Linked DNA regions of Struthio camelus. The protein of the gene in region 1 interacts with the protein of each later gene in a biochemical or structural test. Links are inferred from orthologs where the notes say so. Each region holds a gene or a part of one and is shown in the gene's direction. Other genes may lie near its edges. The genes, in order: dual specificity tyrosine-phosphorylation-regulated kinase 1B-like and HNF1A.

Region 1 (11,335 bases):
GCATCTTGGAGGTGCAGGTGATGGGTGTGGGAGCGTCCTATGCCATCTTGGGGAGGTTTCTGGTGTTTTTGTGGGGATCAGGAGGACCTAAGGTGAGTTTGGGGTTATTTTAGGGGTCCTACATAGGTACTTTGGGCCTTAGTGTGTCTAGGGGAGGATTTTGTGGGTCCTGGGGACATCTTAGAGATGCAGGTGGTGGATCTGGAGCTATCTTGGGACACCTGGGAGAGGTTTCTGGGGCTTCCTAAGGGTTGTTTGGGGATTTGGGGGACATAGAAGGGGGCCCAGGATGGGGGTTGGGGGTCTAGGAGAGGTTTTTGTGGGTCTAGGGGTGTCTTGGAAATGTGGGAGGGCATCTGGTGGCATCTCATGCCACCTGGGGGAGCTTTTGGTGGTGTTTTGGAGGTCAAGGAAACCTTAGATGAGTTTGGGATTGTTAGGGAGGTTCTAGAGAGGTGTCTTGGGGTCCCATGGGGTTTAGAAGAGGTTTGGGGGGGGTATTTGGAGCGTCTTGAAGATTTAGAAAGTGGTCTGGGGCCATCTCGGGGTACCTGGGAGAGGTTTGTGTGGGTCCAGTTGGGTGTGTTGGGTTTTGAGGGGCTACAAGAGGGTTTAGGATGAAGATTTGGGGTCTTGAGACAGGTTCGAGGGCATCTTGGTGTCTTGGGAGGTTTCTTGGGAGTGTTTTGTGGGTTAGGGGATGTTTGGGGGACCACAAAGAGGTTTCGGGAGGTCCAGGAGAGGATTTAGGGGGGTTGGGGACATCTCGGGGGGCTGGAGCACAGTGGTGGGAAGTTTTTTGGGGGGGGGGGGGGGTCCCCGGCCCCCTGTCACCTACCTCGTGACACCCAGGCATGGTGGACGTGATCTTTGCGGACGTCGCGCAGCCCGACCAGTCGCGCATCGTGGCCCTCAACGCCCACAACTTCCTGCGCAATGGTGGCCACTTCGTTATCTCCATCAAGGTAACGAGCGGGGCGGGTTGCTGATGGGCCAGTGACAACCAGTAGTGACCCCTGATGGGCCAGTGACAAGCAGAAATGACCAGTTATCAGCCAGTGATAACCACTAATGAGCCAGTGAAAACCAGTGATGACCAGTAATGGACCAGTGACAACCAGTAAGAGGCCAGTAACAGCTAGCAGTGACCAGTAATGGTCAGTGATAGCCAGTAATGGAGCAGTGACAGCTAGTTATGAAGCACCAATGGACCGGTAACAACCAGTAGTGACCAGTATGGGCCAGTGACAACCAGTAACGACCAGTAACGCACTGAGGACAGCAACTAAGGACCAGTAGCAGACTGATGACATCCCATAGCAAACCAGTAACAGGGCAATGACGACCAGTAGTGACCAGTAAGAGCCACTGACAACCAGTAACAGGGCAGCGATGGCCAGTGACAGGCCAGGAATAACTGGTGGCAACCAGTAACAGCCCAGTAATGACCAGTATCAGCCTGGGATGCACCAGTAGTGACTAGTAACACCCTAGAGACAGCCCAGTAGTGACCAGTAACAACTGGAAGCAACCCCAGTAATGACCAGTGACAGCCCAGAGCTTCCGAGTAATGACCGGTAACGCCCTAGAGACAGCCCAGTAACGACCAGTAATGACCCGTAGCAATCGAGGGGCTCCCAGTAACAACCAGTTAAGACCCAGTAAGAACCAGTAATACCAGGGACATCCTGGGAAGGGGGACAGTTCCCCTCCCATCTCAGTTTCTGCCCCAGGACTCCCCATTTTTGCCCCAAAATCTCCATTTCTGCCCTGAGACTCCCAATTTTTGCCCCAGGATCCCCCTTTCTGCCCAAGGACTCCCCATTTTTGGGGCATTTCACCCCAAGACTCCCCCTATTTGTGTTTTTTCCCCCTCCTATGCCCATTCCTGCCCCGAGACTCCCCATTTTTGGGGGATTTCACCCCAAGACTCCCCATATTTGGGTTTTTCCCCCCTCCTATGCCCATTCCTGCCCCGGGACTCCCCATTGTGGGGGATTTCACCCCAAGACTCCCCATTTTGGGTTTTTTTCCCCCTCCTATGCCCATTCCTGCCCCGGGCCTCCCCATTTTTGGGGCGTTTGACCCCGTTCACCCCTTCTTCCGCCCCCCCCAAGGCCAACTGCATCGACTCGACGGCGGCGCCCGAGGCCGTCTTCGCCTCCGAGGTGAAGAAGATGCAGCAGGAGAACATGAAGCCCCAGGAGCAGCTCACGCTGGAGCCCTACGAGCGCGACCACGCCGTGGTGGTGGGCGTCTACAGGTGCCGCCGGGAGCTACTGGGGGGCACTGAGAGAGGGGGCCAGGGGGCTGGAGCAGGGTGACGGGGTGCTGGGGACCTCCAGGAGGGGGACGCGGGTTGGAGTTGGTCACCACGGTGGACCTCGGGGATGTGAACGGGGTGAGGAGATGCAACGGGGACAGCCTGGGGTGTCTTGGGGACGCAGAGGGATGACATCTGGGTGAGGGAACACAACGAGGTGGGACGTAGGGGACATGGGGACAGCCTGGGGTGTCTTGGGGACCCAAAGGGATGACATCTGGGTGAGGGAACACAACGAGGTGGGACGTAGGGGACCTGGGGACACGCTGGGGTGTCTTGGGGACGCGGAGGGATGACATCTGGGTGAGGGGACAGAACGAGGTGGGACGTAGGGGACCTGGGGACACGCTGGGGTGTCTTGGGGACGCGGAGGGATGACATCTGGGTGAGGGAACACAACGAGGTGGGGTGTAGGGGACCTGGGGACACGCTGGGGTGTCTTGGGGACGCGGAGGGATGACATCTGGGTGAGGGGGACAGACGAAGGGGCCACGGGGACATCTGGGGGCCATGGGGGGGGGGCCCAAAGGGGACGATGGGGACAGGAAGGGGGACGCCCCCCCCCCATGGCCAGGAGGGGGTGACACAAGGGGACAGTGGTTGGGGGGGGGGAGGAGGGGACACGCCACCAGCGGTGACACGTTCCCCCTTCTTCGTCCCCAGGCCGGCGCCCAAGCAGAAGTGACACCTCCTTCGTCCCCTTCCTCCTCCTCCTCCCCCTCCCCTCCCGACGGCGCTTCGGACCCTTCGGTTTGGGGCGAATTCTCGCGCGTTTGGGGTTTTTTTTTGTGTGTGTGTGCGCTACGGCGGGTTTTTATTAAAATAAGAGGGGAAAAAAAACAGCCGGGGGGGCTCATGGCTGGGGGGGGGGGCAATAGGGGAGAGTAATTACCCCCTTTTGGGGAGGGGCAGGAGGGGGTTGGGAGTTAATTGCCCCCATGGTGGGGGTAATCGCCCCCAAGTGTAGTTGGGGGAGGTATTACCCCCCTGGGGGGGCAGATTCGGGGCCTGGGATGGGGTTATTTGCCCCCCAGGGGTAGATTGGGGGTTATTACCCCCCTCTGGGGGGGGCAGATTTGCAGTCTGGGGGGGTTAGTTGCCCCCAAGGGGTAGGTTGGGGGGGTTATTGCCCCCCAGGAAGGCAAATTTGGGTCCTGGGGGGGTTAGTTGCCCCCAAGGGGTAGGTTGGGGGGGTTATTGCCCCCCAGGAAGGCAAAATTGGGTCCTGGGGGGGGTTAGTTGCCCCCAAGGGGTAGGTTGGGCGGGTTATTGCCCTGCAGGAAGGCAAATTTGGGTCCTGGGGGGGGGGGGGTTAGTTGCCCCCAAGGGGTAGGTTGGGGGGGGTTATTGCCCTGCAGGAAGGCAAAATTGGGTCCTGGGGGGGGTTAGTTGCCCCCCAGGGGTAGGTTGGGGGGGTTATTGCACCCCAGGAAGGCAAAATTGGGTCCTGGGGAGGGTTAGTTGCCCCCAAGGGGTAGGTTGGGGGGGGTTATTGCCCCCCAGGAAGGCAAATTTGGGTCCTGGGGGGGTTAGTTGCCCCCAAGGGGTAGGTTGGGGGAGGTTATTGCCCCCCAGGAAGGCAAATTTGGGTCCTGGGGGGGTTAGTTGCCCCCAAGGGGTAGGTTGGGGGGGTTATTGCACCCCAGGAAGGCAAAATTGGGTCCTGGGGAGGGTTAGTTGCCCCCAAGGGGTAGGTTGGGGGGGGTTATTGCCCCCCAGGAAGGCAAATTTGGGTCCTGGGGGGGTTAGTTGCCCCCAAGGGGTAGGTTGGGGGGGTTATTGCCCCCCAGGAAGGCAAAATTGGGTCCTGGGGAGGGTTAGTTGCCCCCAAGGGGTAGGTTGGGGGGGGTTATTGCCCCGCAGGAAGGCAAATTTGGGTCCTGGGGGGGGGTTAGTTGCCCCCAAGGGGTAGGTTGGGGGGGTTATTGCTCCCCAGGAAGGCAAATTTGGGTCCTGGGGGGGTTAGTTGCCCCCAAGGGGTAGGTTGGGGGGGTTATTGCCCTGCAGGAAGGCAAATTTGGGTCCTGGGGAGGGTTAGTTGCCCCCAAGGGGTAGGTTGGGGGGGTTATTGCCCCCCAGGAAGGCAAATTTGGGTCCTGGGGAGGGTTAGTTGCCCCCAAGGGGTAGGTTGGGGGGGGTTATTGCCCCCCAGGAAGGCAAATTTGGGTCCTGGGGGGGGGTTAGTTGCCCCCCAGGGGTAGGTTGGGGGGGTTATTGCCCCCCAGGAAGGCAAAATTGGGTCCTGGGGGGGTTAGTTGCCCCCAAGGGGTAGGTTGGGGGGGATTATTGCCCCCCAGGAAGGCAAATTTGGGTCCTGGGGGGGGTTATTTGCCCCCAAGGGGTAGGTTGGGGGGGGGTTATTGCCCCCCAGGAAGGCAAATTTGGGTCCTGGGGAGGGTTAGTTGCCCCCAAGGGGTAGGTTGGGGGGGGTTATTGCCCCCCAGGAAGGCAAATTTGGGTCCTGGGGGGGGGGTTAGTTGCCCCCAAGGGGTAGGTTGGGGGGGTTATTGCTCCCCAGGAAGGCAAATTTGGGTCCTGGGGGGGTTAGTTGCCCCCAAGGGGTAGGTTGGGGGGGTTATTGCCCCGCAGGAAGGCAAATTTGGGTCCTGGGGAGGGTTAGTTGCCCCCAAGGGGTAGGTTGGGGGGGTTATTGCCCCCCAGGAAGGCAAAATTGGGTCCTGGGGAGGGTTAGTTGCCCCCAAGGGGTAGGTTGGGGGGGGTTATTGCCCCCCAGGAAGGCAAATTTGGGTCCTGGGGGGGTTAGTTGCCCCCAAGGGGTAGGTTGGGGGGGTTATTGCCCCCCAGGAAGGCAAAATTGGGTCCTGGGGGGGGGTTAGTTGCCCCCCAGGGGTAGGTTGGGGGGGTTTTTGCCCCCCAGGAAGGCAAATTTGGGTCCTGGGGGGGTTATTTGCCCCCCAGGGGTAGGTTGGGAGTTATTTCCCCCCCTCGAGGGGGCGCATTTGGGTCCGGGGGGGGTGTTACTTGCTCCCGGGGTAGGTTGGGGGGGCTAATTGCCCCGGGGAGAGGCAGATTCCACCCCCTAGGGGCGGGGCTTTTATTGGCCCCGCCCCTTCCCCGCAGCGGCGAGGGGCGTGGCCTCGTTCAGCCCCACCCCGAGGCCGTTGGGGGGGAGCAGCCGTCAGCGCTCCTTCCCGCGCATGCGCATTGCCGCCGGTCGGGCGCTCTGACCGGGCGTCACGTGCCACCCCAGGCGCACGCAGGCTTGAGGAGGGCGGGGCGGACCCCGGCGCGCGCTGGTGACGTCTGCCCGTGCGCGGGAGGGGCGGTGCGCATGCGCGGAGGCCCCCCCCCCCCCCCAACCCATCCCAAACCATCTCCCGCTTTTCCTCCGCGGGCGCCGATTGGGCGGGGCGCGGCGGCAGCAACGGCGGCGTTGATTGGGCGGGGCGGCGGGGGTTGGCGGCGTTGATTGGGCGGGGCGCGGCGGCGGCGGCGGCGCCGATTGGGCGGGGCGGCGCAGGCGCAGAGGAAGCGGCGGCGGTTTGTTGTGGCCGCCATTTTCCGTGGCATTACTGGGAAATCCCCGGGGCGCCGCCGCCGCCGGCCGTTAGCGGCCTCGGCCCGGTCCGGCCCCGGCCCCGCCGCTACCTTCCTCCTCCTCCTCTTCCTCCCCCTCCTCCTCCTCCTCCCCTCGCTGGGGTCAGTCGCTCCGCCTCGCTCCGCGCAGCGCCGCCGCCACAGGTGAGACCCTCCCCGGGGCGGGGCCTGCTCGGGCCCCGGCAACCGCCACCGGCCTCCGGCTACCGGTTCCCCCCTCCCCCCCAACCCCGGCGCCGCGGCCTCGTCCGCCCTTTCCGCGCCCGTCACGGGGCAGCCGGTACCGGTCCGGCTCTAACGGGCTTTTCCCCTCGCCCCGTTACCGGCATCGCTCTCGGGTCCCCCCCCCCCCCCCCCCGGTACTGACACTGGGCCCTGAGGCCCTTCCGGTACCGGTAGGGGTCCCCCAGTGCTCCCAGTACCGGTATGGGTCCCCCTGGGACTGGTTTGGGTGCTGTGGTACTGGTATGACCCTCCCAGTCCCCCCAGTACCAGTATGGGTCCCCCTGGGACTGGTTTGGGTTCTCTGGTTACTGGTATGGCCCTCCCAGTCCCCCCAGTACCGGTATGGGTCCCCCTGGGACTGGTTTGGGTTCTCTGGTTACTGGTATGGCCCTCCCAGTCCCCCCAGTACCAGTATGGGTCTCCCTGGGACTGGTTTGGGTTCTCTGGTTAGTGGTATGACCCTCCCAGTCCCCCCAGTACCGGTATGGATCTCCCTGGTACTGGTTTGGGTTTTCTGGTTACTGGTATGACCCTCCCAGTCCCCCCAGTACCAGTATGGGTCCCCCTGGGACTGGTTTGGGTTCTCTGGTTACTGGTATGGCCCTCCCAGTCCCCCCAGTACCAGTATGGGTCTCCCTGGGACTGGTTTGGGTTCTCTGGTTACTGGTATGGCCCTCCCAGTCCCCCCAGTACCAGTATGGGTCCCCCTGGGACTGGTTTGGGTTCTCTGGTTACTGGTATGGCCCTCCCAGTCCCCCCATTACCAGTATGGGTCTCCCTGGGACTGGTTTGGGTTCTCTGGTTACTGGTATGGCCCTCCCAGTCCCCCCAGTACCAGTATGGGTCCCCCTGGGACTGGTTTGGGTTCTCTGGTTACTGGTATGGCCCTCCCAGTCCCCCCAGTACCAGTATGGGTCCCCCTGGGACTGGTTTGGGTTCTCTGGTTAGTGGTACGGCCCTCCCAGTCCCCCCAGTACCGGTATGGGTCCCCCTGGGACTGGTTTGGGTTCTCTGGTTACTGGTATGGCCCTCCCAGTCCCCCCAGTACCGGTATGGGTCCCCCTGGGACTGGTTTGGGTGCTGTGGTACTGGTATGACCCTCCTATTCCCCCCAGTAGCAGTATGGGTCCCCCTGGGACTGGTTTGGGTTCTCTGGTTACTGGTATGACCCTCCCTGTCCCCCCAGTACAAGTATGGGTCTCCCTGGGACTGGTTTGGGTTCTCTGGTTACTGGTATGGCCCTCCTAATCCCCCCCCCCAGTACCAGTATGGATCTCCCTGGTACTGGTTTGGGTTTTCTGGTTACTGGTATGGCCCTCCCAGTCCCCCCAGTACCAGTATGGGTCCCCCTGGGACTGGTTTGGGTTCTCTGGTTACTGGTATGACCCTCCCAGTCCCCCCCCAGTACCAGTATGGGTCCCCCTGGGACTGGTTTGGGTTCTCTGGTTACTGGTATGGCCCTCCCAGTCCCCCCAGTACCAGTGTGGGACCCCCGGTCCTCCCAGTACTGGTATGGGTCCCCCTGGGACTGGTTTGAGTGCTGTGGTACTGGTATGGCCCTCCCAGTCCCCCCAGTACCAGTATGGGTCCCCCTGGGACTGGTTTGGGTTCTCTGGTTACTGGTATGACCTTCCCAGTCCCCCCAGTACCAGTATGGATCTCCCTGGGACTGGTTTGGGTGCTATGGTACTGGTATGACCCTCCTAATCCCCCCCCAGTACCAGTATGGGTCCCCCTGGTACTGGTTTGGGTGCTGTGGTACTGGTATGGCCCTCCCAGTCCCCCCAGTACCAGTATGGGTCTCCCAGTCCTCCCAGTATCAGTATGGGTCCCCCCCTGGTACTCATACGTGTCCCCCAGTACTGGTATGACCCTCCCAGTCCCCCCAGTAGCAGTATGGCTCCCCCAGTAGTTGTATGGCCTCCCAGTACCATTATGGGTTTCCTGGGTTTCCCAGTTCTCCCAGTACTGGTATGGATGTGCTGGTACTGATTTGGGTCCCCCAGTACCTCTGGTACTGGTGTGACCCTCCCAGTCCCCCAGTACCAGTATGGTTCCTGCTGGTACTGGTATGGGTCCCCCGGTACTGCTATGACGCTCCCAGTCCCACCAGTATGGGTTTCCTAGTTCCCCCAGTACCAGTATGGATCCCCCTGGGACTGGTTTGGGTTCTCTGGTTACTGGTATGATCCTCCTAATCCCCCCAGTACCAGTATGGGTCCCCCTGGGACTGGTTTGGGTGCTGTGGTACTGGTATGGCCCTCCCAGTCCCCCCAGTACCAGTATGGGTCCCCCTGGGACTGATTTGGGTTCTCTGGTTACTGGTGTGACCCTCCCAGTCCTCCAGTACCAGTTTGGGTCCCCCTGGGACTGGTTTGGGTGCTCTGGTTACTGGTATGACCCTCCCAGTCCCCCCCCAGTACCAGTATGTGTCCCCCTGGTACTGGTTTGGGTTCTCTGGTTACTGGTATGGCCCTCCCAGTCCCCCCAGTACCAGTATGGGTCTCCCTGGTACTGGTTTGGGTTCTCTGGTTAGTGGTATGGCCCTCCCAGTCCCCCCAGTACCAGTATGGGTCCCCCTGGGACTGGTTTGGGTTCTCTGGTTACTGGTATGACCCTCCTAATCCCCCCCCAGTACCAGTATGGATCTTCCTGGTACTGGTTTGGGTTCTCTGGTTACTGGTATGGCCCTCCCAGTCCCCCCAGTACCAGTATGGGTCCCCCTGGGACTGGTTTGGGTTCTCTGGTTACTGGTATGGCCCTCCCAGTCCCCCCAGTAGCAGTATGGGTCCCCCTGGGACTGGTTTGGGTTCTCTGGTTACTGGTATGGCCCTCCTAATCCCCCCCCAGTACCAGTATGGATCTTCCTGGTACTGGTTTGGGTTCTCTGGTTACTGGTATGGCCCTCCCAGTCCCCCCAGTACCAGTGTGGGACCCCCGGTCCCCCCAGTACCGGTATGGGTCCCCCTGGGACTGGTTTGAGTGCTGTGGTACTGGTATGACCCTCCCAGTCCCCCCAGTACCAGTATGGGTCCCTCTGGGACTGGTTTGGGTTCTCTGGTTACTGGTATGACCCTCCCTGTCCCCCCAGTACCAGTATGGGTCCCCCTGGGACTGGTTTGGGTTCTCTGGTTACTGGTGTGACCCTCCCAGTCCTCCAGTACCAGTTTGGGTCCTCCTGGGACTGGTTTGGGTTCTCTGGTTACTGGTGTGACCCTCCCAGTCCTCCAGTACCAGTTTGGGTCCTCCTGGGACTGGTTTGGGTTTTCTGGTTACTGGTATGGCCCTCCCAGTTCCCCCCAGTACCAGTATGGGTCTCCCTGGGACTGGTTTGGGTTCTCTGGTTACTGGTATGGCCCTCCCAGTCCCCCCAGTACCAGTATGGGTCCCCCAGTACTTGTATGGTTTCTGAGTACCAGTATGGATCCCTTGGTACCAGTATAGCTCTCCCAGTTCCACCAGTACAGATCCCCCAGTACCAGTATGGGCCCTGTTCCTCCCCCTGCCTCGTCCCAGCATCAGTCCAGTTTCCCCCACCTTGTCCCAGTTCCCCCCCCGCCTCGTCCCAGTACGGGCCCAGTTCCCCCCCACACCTCATCCCAGTATGGGCCCAGTGCGTCCCCCTCCCTCCCCCTGCCTCGTCCCAGTCCCATCCCAGTTCCCCTTTTGCCTCATCCCAGTGCAGGCCCAGTTCCCCCCCGCCTCATCCCAGTTCTAGCCCAGTTCCCCCCCACCTGTCCCAGTCCTGTCCCAGTTCCCTTCCTGGCCTGTCCCAGTCTCAGTCCAGTTCTCCCCCCGCCTTGTCCCAGTCCTGTCCCAGTCCAGTTCCCCCCCCCGCCTTGTCCCAGTCCTGTCCCAGTCCAGTTCCCCCCCCGCCTTGTCCCAGTCCTGTCCCAGTCCAGTTCCCCCCCCGCCTTGTCCCAGTCCTGTCCCAGTCCAGTTCCCCCCCCGCCTTGTCCCAGTCCCGTCCCAGTCCCCCCCCGCCTTGTCCCAGTCCCGTCCCAGTCCCCCCCCGCCTTGTCCCAGTCCCGTCCCAGTCCCCCCCCGCCTTGTCCCAGTCCCAGCCCAGTTCTCCCCCCGGCCTCGTTCCAGTCCCAGCCCAGTTCCCCCCCCCCCAACCTCGTCCCAGTCCTGTCCCAGTCCAGTTTCCCCCCCCCGCCTCGTCCCAGTCCTGTCCCAGTCCAGTTTCCCCCCCCCGCCTCGTCCCAGTTCCCCCCCCGCCTCGTCCCAGTCCCGTCCCAGTTCCCCCCCCGCCTCGTCCCAGTCCCGTCCCAGTTCCCCCCCCGCCTCATCCCAGTCTCGTCCCAGTTCCCTTCCTGGCTTTTCCCAGTCCCGTCCCAGTTCCCCCCCCCGCCTCGTCCCAGTCCCGTCCCAGTTCCCCGCCCCGCCTCGTCCCAGTCCCGTCCCAGTTCCCTTCCTGGCTTGTCCCAGTCCCGTCCCAGTTCCCCGCCCCGCCTCGTCCCAGTCCCGTCCCAGTTCCCTTCCTGGCTTTTCCCAGTCCCGTCCCAGTTCCCCGCCCCGCCTCGTCCCAGTCCCGTCCCAGTTCCCTTCCTGGCTTTTCCCAGTCCCGTCCCAGTTCCCCGCCCCGCCTCGTCCCAATCCCAGCCCAGTTCCCCCCCCACCTTGTCCCAATCCTATCCCAGTTCCCCCCACCCCGCACTCACACTGGTCCATACTGGTTTCGGGGTTGTGGGAGTCAGTTAAACCCTTTCAGGGTCCCTTAAGCCCCCCCATACCCCCCCCAGGGGGCAGATTTTGGGGTCCCCTCTGGGGGAGGGAGGGGCAATTCTGGGGGTTTTGCCCCCCCCAGGAGCGGTGCTGCCCCCCCTCCCGGGGTAATTCCCCCCTCCCCCCTCCCCCTTCCTGGAAGCCGGGGGTATTTTTGGGGTCAGACGAGGTATTTTTGGAGCCGGCTCCGCTTTCAGCCGCTGCCGCCCGGCGCCGGCCTAGCGACAGGGGCCGCCGGCTCGCCATTGGCTCGCGGGGATGGCGGGCGGCCAATGGGGAGCCTGTTGCCATGGCGGGATTGGCTGGCGACGCCCAGCCCATAGCGCGGGGCCGGGGCGGCTGGCAGCGCCTGGCTGGGGGCGCCCGCGGCGTTCACTCTGGGCCCTACTGATGGTCGGGGGGGGCACCTTGGGAACCCATCGCGTTCACTCTGGGCCCTACTGATGGTCGGGGGGGCACCCCCACCCCAGGACCCCATCGCGTTCACTCTGGGCCCTACTG
Region 2 (11,088 bases), on another chromosome or scaffold:
TGACTCTAATGGTGGGACTGATTTGAGGGAGAAGCCCCTTTCCTTTCTCCTCCCACACCCCAGCAAAAACATCTAGTGACAATTAGAAAACTGACAATTAATTTGGAATCCACGCTCTGCTGTGCTGCAACCACGGTGGCTGCAGGGTGCATGCTTGTGCAATCCTTTTCACTGCTCGTGACAGAGTAAATGCAAGAGGAAACCTATCTATCCTTTTGAATCAATGGGGGGAAGGATAAACCAGTGTTTCAACCTTGTCTTGGTACTAAAGATTCCTTTCTGAGACTCTTTTCCTGAGAATAGGATGTAAAACTGATGTTGGTATCTATAAAACAACAATGTCCCTGCTTTGTGGCCTTAGTTAGCTTCTTAGTCTTGCAAAATTCTTAGCACATTAATTTGACACAAGTGATTTTTAGCTGATGAGCAATTAAAGCATAATTTTTTCAGCATCTCAGACTTGTGACTAGACTAATAAATGACAATTTTGCAAGCATGCTCTATCATTACATGATAGCAGTGGGATCAATTCACAGGACAAATGTATTCTTCCTTGCAGACCCAGCATCTGCTCATACTCCAAAGTGGGGCACAGCTCGCATTCCCCAGATAATTTTCTCAGTGTACTGCTTGTGCAGACTTTCTTCAGACGTACAAAGCTTTCCTCTGACTTTCAGTGACAGTTTACTCTTGACGTTACAAAGTCCTTTCAAAGTACTTGCTCTGTCTGGTGCCTTTGATGTAGACTGATGCACTACCTAGACTTACAAAGGTATTTCAGCACAAGCAGCAAACAAAAATAAGTTGTTGGTTTTTTTCCCCCCTACTTGGCAGCGTAACTCCCAGAGCACAGGGAGGCAAGCGTGGTGGCGGAGAATCAGACAAAAGCACTCGCTACAAAAAGCCCTCACCTCTGAAGAGCTTAAATGTCATTAGAGGACGTTTTAGCTAACCATGTCTTGATTCATCAAGCAGGCCGATGGAAAGAACCGCAGCAGCTTCATGCGGAGACTGCACCTTTTGGGAAGGGACATGACAGGTAGAGTTGTCAACCCTGCTTGGGTTTGGGAGGAACACGTAGCATGGAAACGAGCAGAAGGGGACGGCAGAAGTCAGAGATTCAGTTTGGCAGTGCAGCTCAGAGCTGCGCTCGGCTGTTCTGCTTGTAAGATCCTAGTAGGATTCCCCTTGCTAAAAAGAAAGCATGTGCTGACCGGTACGTGTCACACGATTCTCTTCACCACCACCTAGTGGGAAACTCCTTCATTACCCGAGCTCCAGCACTGCCCTCGCTCTCCAGCCTCATCCTCACCCTGGTGACGGAGAGTAAGCGAAGGAGGGACAGATGGATGAATGAGGAGGACAGAGTCCTGCTTCCCATAGAGGAAGAGTGCAGAGATAATATTGGTAATACCTAGAGATTACAGCCTATAATTTGTCCCCCTAAGCTGCAGCCAGTGCAGTCCCTAATGTTTGTTAGGCCTTAGCCCCATTCCCTGGGGAGACTTGCAAAGTGCCCTCTGCGCAGATGAGCATGTGAAACGTTTGTTCTTCTGGATGCAACTCTCCTTACTGCTCTTTGCAGGGTGCCAAGTTGGGAAGGTGCTCTAGCATCTAAATCAAAAGATAGCCTTGCTCTCTTCTTGCCTCTCTTTCGATAGTCCTAAGGTTGGTTATTCTGTTGAGAACGGGAGAAGGCTACCAACTAAAAATGCTTTGCTCCTCTGTAAAGACATATTTACTATTATAATCACGTATTTACAACAAGGACTACTACATGAAAGTGTTAAATGGGTATGTATTAGGAGTAGTCGAATCACATATTCAAGGGAGTCCTTCCCTGCTGCGATACTCGAGGTTCACACAAACAGCTGAAATCCAACCCTATGAAAACAACATACCAATGACAATTATCTGGGATTTTTCACTCTCCTGCATGCCACTTGGGGCCAAGCTCCCAGGGCACAAATAATAATCGGTTTTGGCACTTGTGTAGCTTTCTTTTCCTCAATCACAGAAATAGGGATGAACACAACGATAACAATAATTCTCACATTTCAAGGAGGGGATGATAGTAATGTCTTTCAGGCCAATAAAGCATTTGGCAGTCTCAGCTGGAGGAACCATAAAATGGCAAAGAATTATTAAAGGAACCACTTCTAAATACTTCTTTGGCCAATGGCAGTTTTATCACTGTATTCATGGAACTATACAGGCTCCCTCTGCTAGCAATTTTACTATAAAAATATTTAGTTTTTTTCTTTCTCTGCATGCTCCTTGAGGTCATGGCATTAGGCTTTATCCCAGTCAATCACTGTATTTTTCACTGTGTATACTTGATGGTGGATATAATTTAACAAATTAAAACACTGAAGATAACAATTGTATTGATACAAGAGTCAGGCTCTGGGAACCTCTAATCCACCTGCACTTCTGTTCACGTTACTCTGCTGCGCAACTATTTCACTTGGTTTGGCTTTCCTGTAATAAGCAGAATGCAGACCAATAGGTCTAAAATAAGAATAAAGTTCCTATTATATACCCATTTATACTTTCATGGAGTAGTCCTCATTATTTATTAATCCACAGTTCAACTACCTTATTACATGTTCTTGGGAGAAGGCAATCCATTGGAACAGTTTATCAAGGCAGACTATTATTTATCAATGAAGTAGAATGAAACAGGAAGAGAAGCCGTCCTTGCCTGGAAGCCTATTGGAGAATGCCAGCAACCCCGTTCTGTGATGCAGCTGTCACACAGTGTTACCAGACCGCCTACTACTTGAAGGGAAGAAACTTATAAAAATAAAACAAACAGACAATGTATTAAAGCGTAGGTAGGACAATGCAGATTATTTGAACATGTTTAAAGAATCTTTATTAAGCATGCCATTAAAATAAAAAACCTACAGAGCTCAGAATCCTCAGGTGTGATTATGATTACTAACCGATAGATTTCTCCAATCGGCATCCAGACCATTCTGTTAATATAACATTTTTCTTGAGCTTTCTATTAAGCTTACCAGTTTATTGTTGTAAAGCTGCTCGTGTCTTGTTACTGAAGTATTGTTTGAAGGATCTCGACCACCATATTAGTTATGCTTAATGAAAAATAAGTTTGCAGGAGGAAAAAATAATACAAAACCAGATACTGCAGACAAACATGAGAAAAGGCAGGTATCACTCGGGGCCTTCATACTTCAAAAACTACCTCTCCCTTACAGTTACCAGCATCATGTTATTCCGGGTGACTCGAGAATCAAGATATGCCCCAGTAAATTTTTGCAAGTAAGAAAATCAACAAAGCAAGTACAAAAAACAACAAAATCAACTGATATAGAATGCAAATGGGTATAGCAAAGCCAAATCCTTTTCTTTCAACTATTCCTTCTCAAGGCAAAATCCATGAGGCACAATTTAGATATAGGAATATATTGTTTGGATTATGGTACTCTACAATTTAGCTCTTGCTCTACTACTAGAACTATAATCTAGCTGGTTAAAGCTTTGCAGCTTCCACTCTTGACCTCTGCTATCCTTATTACCTCTCAGCAGGATATTGTGGCAGTTGTAATAATCTGAGAAACCCGAGCTTGCAGTCCTCAGTGTCAATATATAGAAAAGGGGTGCTGGTTAACCCATAGCAACAGTTTCCGTCCTACCTCCCACTTGTTCATTCTGACAGTTTAGCAATTTGTAACATCTGAGAAACACTGAAAAGCTCACTGGTTTCCTTGCACTGAAGAATCTGAATTAGATCCTTGATGGAGTGCTGAATCATTTGCTAGCATATCTGGTTTGGCAGGTTACAGTGAATGTAAAAATGACAGTGTAGACATTTTTAAGGAAAGTTTTTACCTCTTCCTTGGTTGTCCAGGCTCTTGGAGTTTAAAATGGGCAACTCCAATAGATCAAGGGAAAAAGACCTTCAAGGATAGAGTGATGGAGAAATTTACCTCTTCCTCAGTATTTGAAAGGTTTCCACGTTAAACGCAGGATTCCTCATGTGGTATCCAGTTGTAGCATCCTGTAGGTCCTAACAAACAGGCAGATGTTCATTTTTGGTTTTATAGCCTTTGAAGTTCATTGGTTTCAAGAGAGGCTGTTTTAAAAGCTTCAGCAGCTGAAGGCCTCCGGGGCAAGCAGAACCAAGAGGGAAGGGGCTTCTGGTACACGAGGAATCCTTAAAACCACATGATAAATACAGATAATTTCTTGATATATTTTTTTTCCTTCTTTACAGTTTCCCCAACAAATACTGCTGTTCTTTGTCTAAACTTCAGGATTTTTTTCCTGCAAGTGTGCAACAGAAGTATATATTCACAGAAAATAGACTGGACAGTCTATAAATAAAAACAATGTTAGCATTTTCCATCCCCTCTAGTTTAGGTAAACAAAATCACTGTGCACAAAGGCAGAAGTAAGTAACAAGACATGGCAGCATCTTCCCTGCCACATATTGCAGCGAGCTCACAATCTGTTGTCTCTGCATGCAAAATCCTTGAATTACAAGGATGCATCATGCTGAAACCATACATCATGGTTGGGTACTGTCATTACAATTGGTAATTACTGTTACCAGCCAGCACTGTTAGACTGTCTACTGGGGGGAGAGGGGGGGGGCGGGATGAGGAAAATTGTAATCAAAAATAAAATGTACAGAAATTGTATCCAAATATTGCTAGGACAATGCCAAAAAAGCTGAACATTTTTAAATGCTCTTTACTAAACCTGCTATGAACATAGTGAAGTATTTAGAAACTAAAGATCTTATTTTACATTAAATATTTTCACACGGACTCTGAATTGGTACTCCTTTTTAGGCAGACGGAGGGAGTCTGCTGGAGCCCCGTCTGAGCCTTTTCAGCTTCCAGCAGTGAGGGGAGCTGGCACTCGGGGGGCAGACGCCTCTGAAACGAAGGCCAACAGTTAGCAGCAGTCCTGGCTGCGGGGTCAGCCCAGCAGCAGCTTGCTGCGACTGCAGGGAGGAGGGCGCCAACCTGCCAAGGAGCTCAGCCCCTCCGTGCTGAGCCTGGCGAGCACGGCTCCCGCTGCCCGCGAAGGGAAAACCGGCCAAGGTCGCTCTGCAGCAGCGTCTTGGCCAGTGCTCAGTCTGGGGCCATCCTATGGGGATGGCTAAGCTCCTCTTAGCTTGGGCCTGATGGCAGTATATAAAAGTAGACCAGTAGTTGCTCCTAGGAAACCTCTGTTAAAACAACAGTTTTAAACCCTTCTCCCATCGATCACACAAGAAGAAATCATTCACACGAGACCCTTACACACCATCAAGCCCACACTTGCATACTAAGTTATTCCCTAGCCCCTTGAAGTAAACAGATGCATTCATATATTTGCAGATGAGAAAAGACCACCAGTCATCGCGGCCTCCCGACAACTCCAAGCAACGCCAGCCAAGCTGGCTAGGGTGTTTTAGAAAGTCACCCAAAAGGTGGGGGGTAGAACCAGAAAGCACAGCCGGCATCAAGAGGGGATGGAGGTAGATGCTAAACGGGAACCACCAGCCTGTCCAGGGCACTTCTCCAGAGAAGCAGAGCAATCGGAGATAGGGCAGGGACTTTCGGTGTGAACCAACACCCAGGGCTGCTCCTTATCGTGTGCTTGAATCATCAGCTCAACGGGGCAAGTCATGTAATCCCCCAAATTATGTGGGTACGCTCATCAATTAAACAATACATACAGCAAGTTATAAAGGAGGTACCAGTATTTGCATATCAAGGTACTCCAGCAAGCCAAAGCCAGAAGTGAAAAAGTCATTTAACACTCAATGCTGTGCCGTAGAAGTCAGCTGGAGCTCCACAACACGCCGTGAGTCTTGGGAACTTCCCTGTAAACCCAGCAGTTGCACTGGTCGGCCGGGGGGGTGGGCAAAGGCGAGCGAGGCTGCCGACGCAGCCGTCTCCCAGGGCCAACGCCTTGGCAGGGGCTGGTTGAACCTCTCTGCTGCTGGAGCTCTGCGTGGGCTCCACAACCTCCCACCAGCAGCACCTTCTCCTGCACAGGCACCGCCAAACCCACCCCTTGCTTTTGGCTACTCCGCCTCCTTCCTTCTCCAAAACTAATGGGGCCAGAAATGAGCCATGTTTTTTCCCCGTTTTCATTTCCCTACTTTTCTTTCCGTATCTTTTTCTTTTCCATGCTGGCAGACCTTCTACCCCTCCGTTTTCCTCTCCTTCCCTCCCTTTCCCCCTCCCCCTGCTTTCTCTCCCTCTGCACTTTGTGAACTGCTGCTGCCGTGCTGAAGTCCAAAGTTCAGTAACTTGCTAAGCACACAGATAAATATGAACCTTGGAGAATTTACATTGCTCCAATGTAAACAGATAGCCAAGGGTCCCTTTATCAGCACCGGCTCAGGACAGTCGTGGGGGGTCTGAAGTGGCTCAATTTTGTATTTTGTTTTTTTGGGGGGGGGGGGCGTAAAGGCGGGAGGCTGCGCTGTGCCCACTCTGCCGACAGTCAGGCGCGTTACCTCGGGAACATGGTGTAGGGAAGCTGGAGGCAGGATAAGCTGAAATTCAAACCCAAGAGGCACGAGGCTGAAGACCATGGTCTCGAAGCTGAGTCACCTTCAAGTGGAGCTGCTAGGAGCGCTGCTGGAGTCGGGGCTGACCAAGGAGACCTTGATCAAGGCGCTGAGCGAAGCGGAGCCCTACGTCCTCCAGAGCGAGAGCCAGCGCGCCATCCATGCCCTCCAGACAGAGAAAGGGGACTCGTGCCCCGAAATCCCCGCTCTCCCCAACGGCCTGGGGGAGGCCAGGTTATCGGAAGATGAAACCTCTGATGATGGGGAGGAATTTACCCCTCCGATAATGAAGGAGCTGGAGAACCTGAGCCCTGAGGAGGCTGCTCACCAGAAGGCTGTGGTGGAGAGACTATTACAGTAAGGACACGTTTGCTGCTCCTCTTTGCTGCTCTTTCTTGTATTCTCTCCCTCCAAATCTCTTTCCTTTCCCCTTCCTTTCTTCCTACCAGCGTCCCTGGTATTCACAGCTGATCTAACCGCACAGAGACTGTCTTCATCCATGCCAGGACTAGCAGCCCCCCAAATTCTTTGCAGATGCTCAAACTTGTCTTTTGATCACACTTCCAATGCGTAAAGGGAGCTATGGAGCCTGATTGCACATTAGAAGTGCTCGTATCATCAGGAAACGGGCGTCAGAGCACTCCGAGGCCTGGACACCCTGCATCTCTCTGACTAAACGTTAATTTTTATAGGAGTCACAGATTCTGTCATCAAGGGAGAAAAAAATAAAAATAAAAGCAGCCCATAAAAATCTGGTCTCTGTTAACTGGCCTCGCAGTAGTCTTAGAAATTATGGTAGAGAGTTTTAGTTTTTCCTGCTATTTTTAAGGAGGTTAAAATTTTTTTTACTGGCTTTTCCTATAGATGTTATTTGTCAAAGATAAACCAAGAGAGCTTGTTCCTGTCTTTCGTGCATGTGCGAAATTCTCCTGACTTCACTGGGGATTTTTCTTGTAGAAAGAGCAGAAACCAAATATACGCAGAGGTTAGAAAGAACTCGCTATGCTCCTACCCTCCGCCGTCTGCCGTAACTACAGAGCACACATAGGAACAGTTACAGGTTTTACTGCCACAGAAATTTGCCTTTGCATGCAAGCATTAAGTCAAAAGACAGGAAGAATCCCCTAAACCAGCGAGTCTCATGACAGGCCCAGAGAAACATTCACCAGGACTCACGTTTGGGATTCTTACTGGGGTGCAAGCCCTAATAACCACCCTCAGAGGTTTGTCCAGGCGAGGATCAGGTCCTTCAAAGCCATCTAGCCCAACAGCAGCAGAATACTGCCCCTCCGTTTTGGAGGTACTCTGAAACCACAAGCTGTTGGGAGACACGAGATGCAGCACCGTCCTGCATTTCAAATCTTCACTAAAACTAAAATCCAGTTAGAGAATTTGTTGGGCCTTCTGATTAATCCTCTTCACGGTTAAAGGGAATTAACAAAGTGCAACAATAAGAGGCAAACATCAAATCCCACTACAAAAGGCCAGAGCTAGAAAAACAGCATGACAGGCGTTAACATTCGCTGTAAATATTTAAGAGAAGAGCAGCTGGGAGCTGATGTCTATGCAGTTCTCAATGGAAGAAAATTCACAGGATCAGCTCTTACCTGGGAGGGGAAACATTCCCAATAATTCAATCTTCTTTTTGGCCCCAAAAGTCTGCCTCTCTTTTCTTCCCCCCCCCCCCCCCAGCTCTGCTACATCTCCTCTTCCCCGTACTGTTGCTCTCCCATTCTCTTTACCTGTTCCCTTTTTCTCCTCACTTTTGTCTCTGCCACTAGTCCTCCCATTTTGATGTCTTCCTGGCTAATTCTCTCTCACATCCTTCCTCACTCTTTTCCTTCCCCTCATCCTTGTCTCCTTCTCTTCTCCCTGAGTCTGCGTACAGGTCTTGGGGTAGTTTGAGCCCAGTGGCACCGGGCGGGCCCTGGCTAGTTACTAATTATCCAATGGCTTTATTATTTCTCTTTTGTCTTATAAATTTATAGATGAAAAGACCCTGATAAGCTTTTTGATCATTAACTTCTGATGGTTTATCAGGTATCTCTCCAGAAAGGCAGCCATGTAGGTGGAAGAGGAGCACCCGGCTTTGTCCCACTCTGTAATGAATGGGTGCAGCAGGGCTGAAGGGCCGCCTGCCGTAATCTGAGAGCAGACTCACAGACAGAAGGGGCTCCTTCCTGCCACCCTCGCTTCACCATGAATTCCAGTTTCTGATCCTCCCTGCCTTTCCAGGAGCTGGCTACCAGCCTCTCCTGTGCTTCCTACCAGTCTCAGCACAACACTCTTACCTACCTTGCGTGCCTGCAGTATTATTTATGCTTTCCAATCAATGGTCTCCCTTCTAGATGGCCAACTGAGCAGCATTCCCATTTTACAGAAATGGGAACTGAGGTACAGATTCTCTGACTCATCTAAAGACCCCTAGGACAGTGGCGAGAGGATTGGGCAAGAGCCAGGATCTCTTAAGCCTTGTACTGGGTCTTAACTGCAACACTTTGTTCTGAAACCTCAGGGCTTGCTTTCTTCAGTCCTCAATGTCACAGGATACATCAGTTCACTTCTGCTGTTCAGGGCAGTATAAAGGGAACCAGAAGCCACCCAGTTACAAGTGTCCTTATGGGGGGATATAATGGACCAAAACTATTTGAGGTGGAATGGAGAGAGTAGGAAGCCCATATTGACAGTCTTCATATTTCTGGTCAAAGACTTAAAAAAAAATCAACTGTATATCTGGGAAGTATATTCAAAGCATGTCAATACCAGGGTCTGATGGTACATAAACAGTAGCTACCAACTAATACATACTGGGTTTTTTTTGTTTTTTGTAAGAACAAACCTTTCCATTAACAAACACCTAAAGGTAACGTCCTTAAAATAGTGTTACAAATAAGCGTAGATACGGGAGAACAGTCTTTAACAGAAATTACTCCCAGCAGCAGATGAAAGGAAGGAAGGCAAAAAAAAAATGATCTCCAAGCACAACTTCAATGCTTGCAAAGCTGTTTCAGCATCTACACAAGCATTTCAAGTCTTTGAGAAACCAGATGGAGGCACTTTTACCTCTAAGCAGAAGCATTGCTGGGCACTATTAAAAAGTCCTGGACTAATACTGTAGACCACATTTTAGGAGAGGGATTGACTTTGGGCAGCTATTGGTGACACAAGAAAGTCTTTGTGGGTAGCTGCAGCCATTGCTCATATAGTAAAGTAGCATGAGAAGTGTCCATTGCTAGGCTTTCCAGGAGCGGGAAATTAAAAATGACAGCACCAAGAGACCAAATCTGTCCTCACAGGACCACTAAAGAGGGAGCCACAGTTTGGGAACTACTGAGCAACACTGAGCACGCCAGGATGTGGGCAAGGTACACCACCCACGCAGCGGGGTGCACCTGCAGGCATGTCACCTTCTGTCCTTTGCGGACAGGACTGATAAAGGCAGTTCAGAGAAAGGTTTTGCTAGCGATGAATTAACATTGTTTTGTGTGCCTAAATCAGTCTCACTGGTCTTCCCCAGACTTGCAAAATTAAAAATAATATTCTCTCCAGATCACTCCACAAAGAATTGCGTCTATGCTAAAGAATAACCTCACTAGGGAGATGGAGGTGTGTGGAGTAATTCCCAGATATTCCCTGGAGTTCCCTGGAGAGACAGCCTGGGGGGTCTGGACAGGCCATACTACCGGAGGCACAGCAAACAAGAAGAGATATAGCAATAATCCACCTGCAGGGCAAGGGGTGAAATTCCACTAGGAAAGAGAGAACTTGAGATAAGCAACAGATTTCCCCTGGAGGCAGGGATAAAAGCCTGGTTTCCAGAAGGAAGAAAGAAAAACAAAGATGTAATGATACAGGTCTGGTCTTTCCCCCATGTCAGTGGTGTCTTAGAAGAGCTCTAGCTGAGGATCTGGACATGAAGCTGCCACACCCCTTTCATTTCCACATATAAACCAAGATGAGGCAAACCAGGCCAAGTTCAATAGAAAAGAACCCAGCCGGGACGGTCTTACCTTCCCTGCTCTCTGCCCAGCCCGGCTCCGGGCTGTGCACTGGCACCAGTGGGAGTTGTCTGGCGAGCTCCAGAGGAAAGGGCCAGAGGATGGTCCTGAGCACTTCACAGCTCTGAACCTCTGCTTAACCAAGGTCTGGTCCAAAGCAGCACTTCAGAATCTACCTCAGAGAAATGAGGGCTTCTCTTGCCTGGGAACCTGGAAAACAGGGAAGGAGGAAAGGAGAGACAGAGGGAATGAGGAAGAGGAGGGGAAAGAAAGGAACAAAGGAAAAAGAAAGAGAAAGAAAAGTCAGGAAGAGTGAAGGAGGGAGAAGGTCCCCCGAATGTTACATCCTCAGCTCTCTGAAATGGGTTTTCTTTAATGCTAACAACTTGATATTTACTTTCCATTTAAATTTGAGATGTTGCTATAAATTATCAACCAGCCTCTTGTTCCCTTTGAGTTTATAACTAACTACCTGGGTTACTTATTGTTCAGGTAACAAAAGGGAGGTGAAAACGCCCTTAAAAAGTGACCTCAGAACTAAGAAAATGG

The links.
Region 2: of the proteins of dual specificity tyrosine-phosphorylation-regulated kinase 1B-like (region 1) and HNF1A, one has a biochemical effect on the other in vitro, tested with the Homo sapiens proteins (2 studies listed by IntAct, with this or other methods). The link is inferred for Struthio camelus from reciprocal best matches to the Homo sapiens genes DYRK1B and HNF1A.

Annotation. Positions count from the first base shown.
Region 1 is NC_090974.1:148,878-160,212, reverse strand, and holds the start of dual specificity tyrosine-phosphorylation-regulated kinase 1B-like, read left to right. Parts: upstream 1-5,792; 5' UTR 5,793-6,025; intron 6,026-11,335. Other genes in the region: FBL (rRNA 2'-O-methyltransferase fibrillarin), read left to right, coding at 853-965, 2,118-2,263, 2,987-3,008.
Region 2 is NC_090958.1:8,142,058-8,153,145, forward strand, and holds the start of HNF1A (hepatocyte nuclear factor 1-alpha), read left to right. Parts: upstream 1-6,224; 5' UTR 6,225-6,563; coding exon 6,564-6,898; intron 6,899-8,148; exon of another isoform or gene 8,149-8,421; intron 8,422-10,551; exon of another isoform or gene 10,552-10,925; intron 10,926-11,088. UniProt on the Homo sapiens protein: Transcriptional activator that regulates the tissue specific expression of multiple genes, especially in pancreatic islet cells and in liver. Binds to the inverted palindrome 5'-GTTAATNATTAAC-3'.